Drosophila melanogaster: one gene and its partner. The protein of the gene in region 1 interacts with the protein of each later gene in a pairwise test. Each region holds a gene or a part of one and is shown in the gene's direction. Other genes may lie near its edges.

What was found. The genes of interacting proteins can lie anywhere in the genome.
Region 2: the proteins of veil (region 1) and CG5787 interact in a two-hybrid assay, tested with the Drosophila melanogaster proteins (one large-scale study listed by BioGRID).

Annotation. Positions count from the first base shown.
Region 1 is NT_033778.4:17,476,424-17,482,637, forward strand, and holds veil (veil), read left to right. Parts: upstream 1-1,734; 5' UTR 1,735-1,846; exon of another isoform or gene 1,847-1,965; 5' UTR 1,966-2,085; exon of another isoform or gene 2,086-3,393; 5' UTR 3,394-3,400; coding exon 3,401-3,636; exon of another isoform or gene 3,637-3,693; coding exon 3,694-3,844; exon of another isoform or gene 3,845-3,908; coding exon 3,909-4,165; exon of another isoform or gene 4,166-4,227; coding exon 4,228-4,522; exon of another isoform or gene 4,523-4,592; coding exon 4,593-4,890; exon of another isoform or gene 4,891-4,951; coding exon 4,952-5,514; 3' UTR 5,515-5,695; downstream 5,696-6,214. Other genes in the region: CG43110 (uncharacterized protein), read right to left, coding at 5,768-6,141, 6,196-6,214.
Region 2 is NT_033779.5:12,708,259-12,714,888, reverse strand, and holds CG5787 (uncharacterized protein), read left to right. Parts: upstream 1-1,936; 5' UTR 1,937-2,034; intron 2,035-2,357; 5' UTR 2,358-2,582; coding exon 2,583-4,527; intron 4,528-4,663; coding exon 4,664-5,514; intron 5,515-5,579; coding exon 5,580-5,636; 3' UTR 5,637-6,097; downstream 6,098-6,630. Other genes in the region: Pih1D1 (PIH1 domain containing 1), read left to right, coding at 1-240, 343-402; CG6180 (uncharacterized protein), read right to left, coding at 6,345-6,630.

The DNA of each region.
Region 1 (6,214 bases):
CTCCGTGCATCCGTCCTGCACCCCATCCCCCCGGGATCACAGGCGCGCCCTGCTCGTCCTTTCCGACCTTTCAGTTGTTGTTGTCCCGTGTCCGTTTCCTTTCGGTGCGGCATAGCCGATTCCCAAGTTACCTTCCTATGTCCTTTTTTTTAATAGGGTTGCATTGAAGGGTGTGTGCGAAAATAAAGCATTTTAATCAAATTTTCTTTTTTTTACATTTTAAAGCAGACATAAATAAATTATCAATACCTTACAATCTTGGGTAATCAAGTTTTGAGCGTATAAATTTTCATGAATTTTTTTTGAATGTATAAGTTGTCAATTTAATGACGAATTAACTTAATTGCTACAAATAAACGAATCTGGACTTTTAATTCAGTTGATTTCAAATGAGTTTCGATCTGGTTTTAGCGAACAACGACCGATATATGTAATTGCTTAAATTGCTTTTCTTGGCAAAACGTGCACTGCTGACGCACTTAAAGAATAAGTTATTCAGGTTAGACAGTTAAGCTATTTAGGTAATATTTAACGTATCCGTTAAGCATTGTATTCTACCAATAAGCTACCTAAAATTTTGTTTGTGAACTTTGATCACTTGAACTTTGATCACGATGCTTCTTTACGAATATAGATTTTCGTATTTGCATACAAAATTCGTTTAATGTGCATATTTGTAGGAGATTCCCCAGTGCGGTATGCCCGACCATGATAAGCATTTGCAGCTGGCACGCTTCACATTCATCTCTTCGATCGGCACTTCCCCTGCGAGTTAGTTTGACCTGCCACTGCAATGATAAGTGCACACCTAAAAGCACTGCGAGAAATTTTCGAATTTCGTTGTCATGGAAATTGGTATGCGGTATGAGTTAGTTTGAACGAAATCACGTTTACCTCCGTTGGCATGGAGAACCAATTCTTATCGGCTTTATTGCCGATTGTTAACGTAGTAAAGGTGGAGTGGTCCCAAAATGCTAATCGATAATGCTGTCAAAATTTGGAATGAACATAATTCGCTTTATGGTTTATGTCCGCGCATTGTGTAATCATGACCATAATTTAAAATAAAGGGATTTATATTTTGGGTTTGTTGGAAGGGGGAAGGGGGGAGTGCTGAAATATAAGATGACACCATAAATGAAGAATCTCCTGTCCCAAGAAAAAAAAAAAGAAACAATCTCATTGATAGCAATAAATGTTTATTTATGGTCAAGGAAATTGGGCATTATTCGATTTATTTGGGGCTGCGAATTTGACACTATCTCAGCGAATTGTTGTTTCGCAATTTCGGAAGGGGCATTTAAATAATCACGCCCAGACGTCAAGTCTGTGAACTTATGATATGGATGGATTGGATATTTGCATTTAGTATGTCGGCAATGGTGTGTGTACACATTATTTACTTGATAAGCACTTGATGTTGTTAAGGGCGTATCAAAATTGAATCATATATATTATTTTTATCTCATTTTTATCGTACACTTGACATTGTGTAATATTGCGTGCTGGTTTTCCTCTCCCCATTTCAGTTAAACTTGGCCGAAGCATCTTCTATTTATTTTCGAACCAACTCAATTGCTGTTGTATCTTGTATCTTTCGGATATATTTAGGCGACATCTCGAGCAGGAAAGTTGTACCTTTCCCTTTCGTTTTTGAGTTATTTGCCCGAACACAGGCAGCAAATAGTAAATAGCAAATACATTATCCACAGCCGCAGCTGTCGTGTGTCTATTGAGCCATTATACATACTATATGATTGAACAGTTTGAGAAGCACGCGACAAGTGGCAGCGGATAATTTGGGGATGAACTGTGGCCCAAAACCCGGCAATTGTGATCATTTCGTGTGGGTAGAACTTCGCAGTAAACTCATAAAGTAATTTACGCGGCTGTTGAGTGAAATTCATCTTTCCAATATTTATCTATCCTTCCATTTTGGCGGCCATAAATCTGTGCAACAAGCAGGCCTCATTGTTCATCAATCGAATGTGCCTGAAAGTTCGCAGAAGACACTTGCTTGGAATTTTCGGGAAATTAATAACAAAGATCGGCTTACTCGGCACAATCGGCGGACTGTTGTTAATGGTGCGTCAATAAACATGTACAGTAAATACTCTAAATATAGGTAAGCAACCATGTTGCATATAATTTCGTGACAGTGAAAATGTTTTACTATGAAACAAAAGTGCAAATATTAATTACAGATATAGATATTCCAAAAATATCCTTTCGAATGCGTGATCTTTGATTCATGTGTTTAGATCACTTACAAGTAAATGCTGTTTGATGCTAGAGTTACGCCGAATGTAAATTCTCCGTAGCGAGCGTGCACTGTATATATTTTTTAGTACAATCCATATTTCGGCGTGGGAATGTCACGTTGTGTTTAGACAACTGTTGGGCCAACTACCTGCCTCTGTCTGAGTGGCTATGAGTCAGATAAATATATAGCCAATTCACCATTATCTGATCTATAACCGACGATTATCGCGCGATATGTCTGCTTCCGATGGCTTCCAAAACATCGAAATACAATGGGGTAATGCAGAAAGAGCATCGCATTGTCATTCTCAGCCAATTTAACCCGCAATCGCAATACGAGGCCTTATCGTAATCAGTCCGCTTCGCGAGGCAGTAAATTTCGGTTTTGCTGTTTAAGGTACTCGGCTTTATGTTTTCGGCTAATAACGGTTCTCGCACTCTCAGCCAATTTGGTGGGTCAGTCAGTTAGCCCGCGGACCGTGCGACGAGTGCATGTGAGTAGCGATCGTTGGTATTTGGTAATTCGTTGCTTCTGAAGTAACATCGATCGGGCCTTTTTGAGCCGAGTTAGCTTTTAGGCCAATGCCATGAGCAAGCTGAAGTTCGAGCTCGTTTCCGAGTTCAATCGAAAACCAGTTGACCGAGTGAAGTGGACCGCGATGGCAGAAATTTGTCGAGCAGAATGTGCTGGGGATTTGTGTGTTTTTTTTTTGCACACGCAAAGTGATAAGCGGCGATTAGATTTAAAACACCCAATAAACTATAAATTGCGATTTCTGCGCGCTCGTGATTGATAAATATTTGCCTCTCAGCAGTGGATTGGTGATAAGGTCGAAAAGGACCTTCAACAGTCTAAGTAGAAAATCTGGTTAACAACGTTTGAAGTGTTTCCATTACATGTGTAAAACCATTCGGATAAGAAAACGAACTAATACTTAAAACACGCTTCATTAAGTGGCAGTGCATTAATTTTTTATTAAAATTTTTAGATTTTCATGAGTGCAAAAACAATGATTATGACAAACCAGTTGCCGTGCGCGAATCAGTGCTTATTCACCGAAGATTATCCACCCACATTTCATCCCTTCGTGTGTGATAACTTATCAGCGATTGTTGTGTTTATTGTTCCAGCACCAAAATGTTACCTGCCCGTGGTCTCCTTATCGGATCATGCTGCCTACTGGCTCTACTGATTCATCCTGTGCAGCCGAATCCCATTGCACCCCGGGCGGAAGTTGCCGCCGAGTTCATCATTCTGCACAACAATGACATGCACGCCCGATTCGAGCAGACGAGTGTGACCAGTGGCACCTGCTCCAAGGAGGAGGCCAATACGGATCAGTGCTACGGAGGATTCGCCAGGGTGGCATACGAGTAAGTGCGGTCAGTTTGCCTAGAGTTCAACTATTCATGCTGATGAACTTCAACTAGGGTGCGAAAGTATCGCAAGGAGGCGGAGGAGGGTGGAACTCCAGTGTTTTATCTCAATGCAGGTGACACCTATACCGGAACTGCTTGGTTCACCGTCTATAAGGACAAGATCGCCAGTGCTTTCCTCAACAAGCTATCGCCAGATGCTATTGTAACTATTATTTTATTGTTTTCCGCATTCTCTTACTATATTTCATCAATATACCTTTCAATAGTCTCTGGGCAACCATGAGTTTGATCAGAATGTTGAGGGTTTGGTGCCCTTCCTAAATGCCGTGGAATTCCCTGTTTTGGCCTGTAATCTGAACCTCACCGATGTTCCGGAAATGGCGGCTGCCAAGCAGCTGGCCAACTCGACGATCCTCGAGAGAAATGGGGTGAAGGTTGGCGTTATCGGTTACCTTACGCCCGATACCAAGGTGCTTGCCTTTCGGAACAAAGTGGAGTACGAGGAGGAAATCGTGTCCATCAAGTGGGTATAGCTCAAATCCGCTGGAGAGCAAGGATGTTAATGCATGTTCATTTATTCCGCAGTGCGGAGGCCGCAAAGCTAAAGGCTCAAGGCATCAATATCATCATCGCTTTGGGTCACTCTGGATACCAAAAGGATCAGGAGATAGCCATGAACTGCCCGGAGGTGGACATAGTCATTGGTGGCCATTCGCACACATTCTTAGATGCCAATCAGCCGGTGGCCGATCCCACGGACTCTGATCCGGAGGCGGTTCGAGGTCCCTATCCCACCACAGTGGTGCAGGCGAGCGGCAAGAAGGTACCAGTGGTTCAGGCATACGCGTATACCAAGTATCTCGGAAAGATTCATGTTCAGGTAAGCACTATATATTATCTGGATTATTATTAAAGAAATTTGAATATAATTGTAATACGAATATTTCCAGTTTGATGCCGAGGGAAATCTGATCGAGTTTGATGGCGCTCCCATTTTGCTGAATGCCTCTGTAGCTCAGGAGCAGGATCTCCTGGATTTGCTAGACGAATACCGCCCCAAGCTGGACGAGCTGGAGAACACGGTTCTGGGTTACACTAAGGTGTTTCTCGAGGGCGGCAACATCTGCCGCATGAGGGAGTGCAACCTTGGCAACTTGGTGACAGATGCCATGATCTATAGTCGCGTGTTGGAAAACAAGGGCGGCGAATTCTGGACAGATACTGCGATTGCTTTTATGCAGGGAGGAGGTGTGTTTTATTTGGTGTCATTAGAGAAATTCGAAATTACGTGGATCTACATATTTTATAGGAATCCGTGGCTCCGTCGATAAGAAGGATGATGGAGTCATCAATGGCGCCACCCTCTTAGCCGTTCTTCCGTTCGAGAATAATCTGTACGTGACAAGGATTCTCGGAAGCACCCTTCTGGCTGCCCTGGAACACTCCGCGTCTGTGAGGTTGCAGGACTCCAATGGTGGATTCCTGCAGATGTCCGGACTGCGTGTGGTGTACAACTACAACAATGAGCAGGGCAAGCGAGTGGTTTCCGCACAGGCCCTATGCGCCAGCTGCGCCGTGCCCACGTACAAGAGCATCAATGAGACGGCCCTGTACCAAGTGATCGTGCCCCAGTTCCTGCTGGAAGGCGGCGATGGCTACACTCTGATCGAGGAGTCGGATCCCTTCACCGAGAGCATGCAGCGAAACGATCTGAATGCTACCATGGAGTACCTGAAGCAGCGCCATTTCGTGTATCCCGAGATCGAGGAACGAATTGTGATTCACGAGAAGGCTGACACCGGATCGGCGTCTGGTATTGTGGCCTCCATCTCCTTGCTTCTGCTCTCTTCCCTGCTAACTAGATTCATCTAGTGGCACTTTCAGCTTCTCATTTCAGAACCCCAATTCATAAATAAGCTTATTAATGCGATTGCATTTTTTCGACTTAAAGAGTCAAGTGTGATTGGTGATAAGTTTGCCCTTAATTAATATAATATATGCTTGTTTCACACACAAACTTAAACTAAATAGCTAATAAATGTTGTGAGAACTGAAATGATATTGTGTTTAAATTTATTTACTGCTTGTGTAGTTTTCGATTAAATCGCCCGATAATCCAGATACCCTATTCATTCTGATTTACTATTTTCGAGATCCATTCTGCATTTGCCATAGCACTGGTTATTACGTATACGTCATTGTGCGAAACGTCTACCAAGCCCAATAGAACGAAATGGACCATGCCCGAAACATTCAATATTTTTTTAACCAATATATCGCCAGCTGTACCAAATTGCTTAAGCGCATTTGGTTGGAAAGTGTTTTTCACACAAAACTGATTCTGTTCGATATTTCTCCTCAACTCAAGTTCACACAACTGCCAATTAAGGCTTTGCACATTTATAACGTAATTGCTTAAGCCATATTGACCTGTGCCAGTGATTCTTAAAGAACCAGCGATGTTTGCAGTTTCCAGAATGCAGATCGGTCTCAATGCACCTGCAACAGAAAATCACTGTAATGTCTCAGCCTATGTTGTCCAACTAATTTTACCTCTGTTTTCCAACCGACG
Region 2 (6,630 bases), on another chromosome or scaffold:
CTCAACAGTTTGTCTGATGAGCAATTGGAACAGTTGCAGGACTTGATACGTGGCGTTCCAAATCACTTGTGGCTCTACAAGATCCGCAGCATGGTCTACCTTTGGGAAAGGTACCATGGCACTCTTAAAACCCATTCAGCTAATAATTTCAAAAGCGATAAGGAAATTCAATCCATAGCGAGAGAATGGAAAAGTCCTGTCTTTCACTGGTTAGCCAAGCAGGCTTTCGATGAGCTTAAGGTGAGAAAACAACATTTCCCAAAGCTAAAAGTATCTGAAAACCTTAAGGAAACCCAAGTTCTACTATCTTCAACTGACAACGAACCTTATCTTTATTTATAGGCAATCAGCGAGATCGCGTGGCCGGATCATAAAAAAATCTATCCCGGCTTGAAAGCATAATTGAATGCGAAGCATATTGTATAAGATTGTATATGGAATCAAAGCCAAAATAAAACAAAGGGGTTTGCTTTTGCAATGGCCCATACGATTGAATCGCCTCAACTTTCTATTTTTTTTTTTTAGCTGCCAGAAACTTTCCAGATAACAAGCCATTTTAATAATACTCAACTCTTTTCTGTTTCCCCATTAGGAATCTGCGTGAAAAGCTTCAAGACAAACAGTGATGAAAAGTTCTTCATTAACGTGTGCCAGGCAGCGGAAGTTCCAGCACCGCAGGATGTCACCGAGGAGGAACTGATTGGCATACTGGAATCCACTACTCCTGGCTCCTATCGAGTGCCCATGAGCATCTCAGATCCCAGATTCACGAAGGATCGTTCCGATAAGACCGTCGATGTCTGCGACATCGCTATCAACCCAAAGTTTCTGGTAAAGATCCAGAAGTCGCAGCTCTTCAAGAACTTCTTTATGCAAATTGTGATTGAGGCGATGAGCGAAAAGTATAATGTGCAGCTCAACATGGAAAAGACCATTATTCTGAACAATCGCAAGTTCATCGGCACTTTGGTCACTCATCGTGTGCGCAACGAAGATATGAAAAGGGCCCAGTCTACGTCCGGCATTCCTGCTGCTCTTAACAGCCGGGATGGTGGGGCTGTGGCACCGGAAAATTCCGGAAAACTGGTGCAGGAGATCGACGAGAAGGATGCTGCTGCCATAAGGAAGAGTCGACAGTCTGCAGGCGGCGGTTTTCTGGATATACAGTACAAACTTCGTGGTCGAGTTCGTGACGAGTCCGTTGACGAAATCCATGCTGAGATCTACTTGCCCAACTACGTAAGATTATTATGGATGCACAGAGAAAAAGAAGTTTATTTATGTCACCACATCAATCCGCAGGTTTCTTCGCAGGAGTTCAGTCTCCTTGTCGGCGAGGATCGTATCGTGGTGGAAACCCGCAAGTATGGCTATGTGTTCAACAAATTCGTCAACTACCGTCTGCAGCAGGATCGTGCACAAGCTCTGTTCGATAAGACCACCAAGGTGATGCAGTGCACCAAGTTTGGAGGATTCAAATCTTTAATTTCTGTTCTTTCTTCCCATTTTTCAGATGCTTCATGTTCGCATTCCAGTGTTCAGTAACTAAAAAGGCACATAAATGAATAATGCCCGCTGTGATAATGTTAATAAAGGCGCAAATTTTACAATTTATTTTATTCTTGAATTTTATTAGAAACTGAAAAAAAGGGGCTGATTGGATTTTCTATATATTCAAATGATATCATATATTGACTGCGAAAGAAAAAAACATCATATTTTATTAAGTTGTTTATATCTTTTTAAGTTTCAATAAAAAAAATTTTGCTTGTTAATTTTTAAGTTTATATTACTTACACACTGACAAATGTGCTGCGCTTATTTTGTCAAAATACTTATGCCGACTAGTGTAGATTAAAAAGCGGTTTCGAGGCAACAGCTAGCTTATATTTAACTTTCATAGATTTTTGTAATGTTTTTTTTTTTTGTTGGTTTTCCTGGTTTGACTTTCGTGCTCATGTTTTATTCTACATTTTTCAAAAGAATTTGTGATTCAATATTTTCAGGTTGTGTGTTTTCTTTGGTAGTGAAAGTGTAAGTATGTATGTAATATAATATAATACTTAATACAACCAATTCATTAGTAAATATTACTATAAAATATAGCTCTTTAATTAACTACGATAGTAGTGAAAAGAAATTATACAGTAAGCTTCTTCTCTATAAATATCTTGCTAAAGAAATTTTTTGGAAGATGGCTTTCAGAATATTACCGAATCAAAACCGAAATTATACATTTGTCAAATGTTGTTTATAACAAATCACATTTGACATAATGCTTAAAATATAAATAAATAATAATTTATTGCAAGGTATTCCTAACTAATTCAATAGCGGTATTTTTCTATCACGCTCAGTATTTTTCAATAAAAATACCAACTTCGAATCGGACTTATTACCATTTTGAGCAGCCGGCTTTCATTGCTTTGCAACCCTGGCACCAGACAGTGAAAAATTCGGGGAAAGGAAAGCATTTTTTGTGCCGCGTTTGTTGTGTTGGAAAAAATCGCAGAGAAGCCAGTTAATTGGAAGCAGCGGCGAGTGCTCGACGTAAAGGTAAATCCGGGCAAGGACTATTCGGAATGGACTACCGCCAAATGAAGAACGACGCTTACGGCATTGGCCAGCGGCGCGGAATGGGGAGCTCCAGCGGCGTTGGTGGTGGTGGAGGAGGCGGCGGCGGCGGGATGTATTCCTCAAACTACGGCGGAGGCGGTAGCGGCGCCAACTTCGGCGGAGGCGGCAATACCAGTGGCAGAGGAGGCTACGGTGGCACTTTCGGTGGCGGAGGCTACGGCGTCAACCGGAATACCAGCCCAGATGGTGGCAACTTCAGTCGCGGCGGTGGCAACTACAGCAACAACAGCAACAGTGGCGGCAACAACAGCTACCCACGTTCCGGAGACGGAGATCGGAGCGGTTTCAATCCGAGCAGCAACCAGCGTTTCGGCGATAATTTCCAGGACAAATTTCGTGGCGGGCCGTCCTCCAATTTCGGCCAAGCGAACAGGGGAGCATCCAATCAGAGCAACGTAGCCCGCTTGCTGGAGGTGGAGAACCGTATGGACTGCAATCCAGATGTCAACTATCGAGGTCCCCAGCCGCAGGGAAGCGGCGATAGGTTTTTCAACGATGAACCCAGAAATCAGGGATCATTCGGTAATTTCGTTCCCAACGATGGAGTGCCATTTGGCGGCAACAATGCTCCCTCTTTTGGTGGAAACAATGGACCCGCTTATGGGGGCAATAGTGGACCTTCCTTTGGAGGAAGCGATGTCCCTTTTGGTGGAAACAGTGGTCCTTCGTTTGGAGGAAACAATCAACGCAACTTCAACAATGACAATTTCCCAAACAGAGGTCCTAACTATGATGACCAGCGTTCCGGTTTCAATGATTCCTACGGACGCAGTGGAAATCACGGCAACTTTGGCCAGAACTCTGGAAACTTTGGGGACAACAATAGGGATATAGGAAACTTTAACAACCGCGGACCGGCTGTCGGAGGATCCGGAGGCCCAGGCTTTAACCCGAACTCTGGTGGCAACTTTGGCAGCAATAATTCCGGAGGCGGCTTTAGCAACAACTTTGGCCAGAACTCTGGAAACTTTGGGGACAACAATAGGGATATTGGAAACTTTAACAACCGCGGACCGGCTGTCGGAGGATCCGGAGGCCCAGGTTTTAAACCGAACTCTGGTGGTAACTTTGGCAACAATAATTCCGGAGGCGGCTTTAGCAACAACATTAGTCGCACCTTCCAAGACTCTCGCAACAACTGGAACAAATCACAATCATCATCGTTCCAGAACTCTGGCTATCAATCGAACAGTGGTGGTGGTGGCGGAGGTGGAGGAAGAAGCGGCGGTGGTGGAGGAGGCGGTGCCGGCGGCGGAGGAGGAGTAGGTTCCGGTGGCTCTGGATGGGAAGCTGGTCAGCGCGCCTTCAACTCGAAGCGCAATCAGCTGCAGAAGATGAATCTGAACAACAGCGGATCTGTTCGAAAGCCAGCTCCACAGCCAGCCGCTAAGGCGGTCCAGAACTTGCGCAACAATCCTCAGAAGGCTGAAATCGTCAAAAGCGCAGGTGCGCCCACTCTGCGCAACAACAAGACCGCCAACCTGCGTCCGGGCAATGCGACTGGAGTACAGAAAAAGCTGCCCGTTGCAGCACCAAATCAGTATAAAGTCAATAACGTAACACCCAATTCGAAAACGGTCTCGGTTACCAACAAGAAGCCACCGGTGGCCGCACCAGCCGTGAAGACCGGACCGCAGGCAAACAGGACAGGACCACAGGGATTAAGAACTGGACCACAGGGATTAAGAGCTGGACCACAGGGATTGAGATCTGGACCACAGGGCTTGAGAACTGGACAACAGGGCTTGAAAACTGGACCACAGCTGCAGAAGTCGGGACCACTGGCACCTAGAACTGGCCAGCAGGCAGTGAAAGGTGGACCACAAGGAGGCAAACCAGCAGGAGTGCCCAGTAGGCCGCCAAACGCTCCTGGATTCCCCGTCCAAATTAGTAAGATTCAGTTCTATTTCGTAAGGTTGCATTACAAAACTTTCTTCTAACTATTCCAATTCATTTAGTAGAGTTTTGCAAAGCAACTAGGAATAGTTTTACCATACACAAGTTCCTAATATGTTATGCATTGCAGGTCAGAAGCGTGTTGCCCCACCTCCACCGCTGGAAACGGAGGCTGCCTCCAAGTCGGTCAAGAAATGGCGACGCGTGGCACGCAAGCGCGGTTTCCTTATTGGCGGATTCAAGATTCCCTATCTCAACGATCAGCCGAAGAAGCTCCCACAGCCGGAGGCGGACTCATATGCCTTGACCTTCTTCGAACAAACCTTCAATTACAGTACAAACCAGGACGCCACCGAGGAGGACTTCGTAGAGGCGGCCGTAGTGCTCAACGAAGATTCGGAAGACGAATCGGTGGCCGACGACGCCAAGTCGGCTCGCAAGATTGCAAAGCGCAACAGGAAACGCATACGGTCCGATTGGGCACCGCTTAACGAATCGAAGAAATATAATGATTGGGGCAACTGGTGGAAGGACTACAAGAATGTTGGCGAGGAGATCGACCAGCAACTGTTGGAGTGTGGGAACTTGAATCTAGAGCATTGCTTCCTACCCAATCTGCCCAAGCTAACCACAGAGCAGGTGGTTTACGCTATCATAAAGTCGGCACACTTTGGTCTCGAGAAGAATGCCGACGTGCCGTACGACACAATGAAGACGATCTTTACGTTGATGAACCGCACCTTCCTGGATAACCTTACGGAGTTGAACATGGTGGAAATACAGGACATTATTCGCGGCATACCCAATGACCTGTGGGTTTACAAGTTGCGCAGCATGGTCTTCCTGTGGGCCAAGTACAAGGCCATTACCAATTCCAAGTCCACCGCCGAGGACGACGTCAAGGATCAGCAGGCGATTGCGCGCGAATGGAAGAGTCCATGCTTCCACTGGCTGGCCAAACAGGCTTTCGACGAGCTAGTGGTAAGTTGGTAACATAGTCATGCAGCCTATTTCATACTAACTAACTCCGACCTTGCTTTTTATAGGCAATCAGCGAAACCGAATGGAAAGACCATCGCACTGTCTTTCCCTCTATAGAGTAAAGTAATTTGGAAACTAGACACCTCCCCTCCTTCTCAACAGCCGAATATGCACTGGACCCATCAAAGGAGGAAATAGAGCGTGGGTTCTTCTTCAGCATTATTTTATGGATTGTATGAGTCTGCATCTAGTTGTATTAGAGACCTTTATTATTGCACACATGAAGAACCATCCTCTTGACTTTAAGAAGTAGATTGTAATTATGTCGCAATGCTTTTACAAATAAATAACTTACCCAGATGGGCGTCTCTTGCGCCCTGGGAAATAACTATAATACTGATCAGAAACGTTCTTCCTATTTGGAAGGTCCGATAGCAATTATGTCTTGTATCTTCAAAGCATGTATTTTGGCGAGATATAAACTCAAGTTCATGAAATCTGTATGTATACAAATGACGCTAGAAGAATCCTATTGATAAAGAAGTAGATTGTAATTGGAATGAATAATAAATACATAACCAGCACAGAAACTGTTTTGCCTCAGCAAAGGGTAACCGAATTATTACTTCAGACAAATTAACAAGATAAGATATGAAAATATTGAAAATGTGTAATAAGATACAGTGGCTTAGTTAATATGTCTTTAACAATTTTATTGCCAGCAACAGAGGGTTTCACAGAGTGTTCATAGGTGTCTTTAATTTCTAGGTTACAATAGATTTGAATCCAATTCAGACTGGCTTATATAAGCATGGTTTTTGGCGTAGAAACTAAGCGCCCAGCTGCTTGTAGAGGATGGGCACATAGTCGTCGTACTCAGCCTGGTAGAGGTTACCGGCAATGGGATTGCCGAGGGCGTACTTCTTGGCGAACTCGGCGATTTTGAAGCCACCGCGTCCATCTCCGCTGTTATTGGGCAGTCGCTTCTCGTCGAATGTGAGCTTGCACCGCTGCTCGTAGATCAGGAAAACGTAACGATGGAGTCCGGTGTCTGGTGGAGGCCCGGATCCCACGTAGGCGGAGAGAACCTCGCCCTTGGCGACATCTCCACCGGGT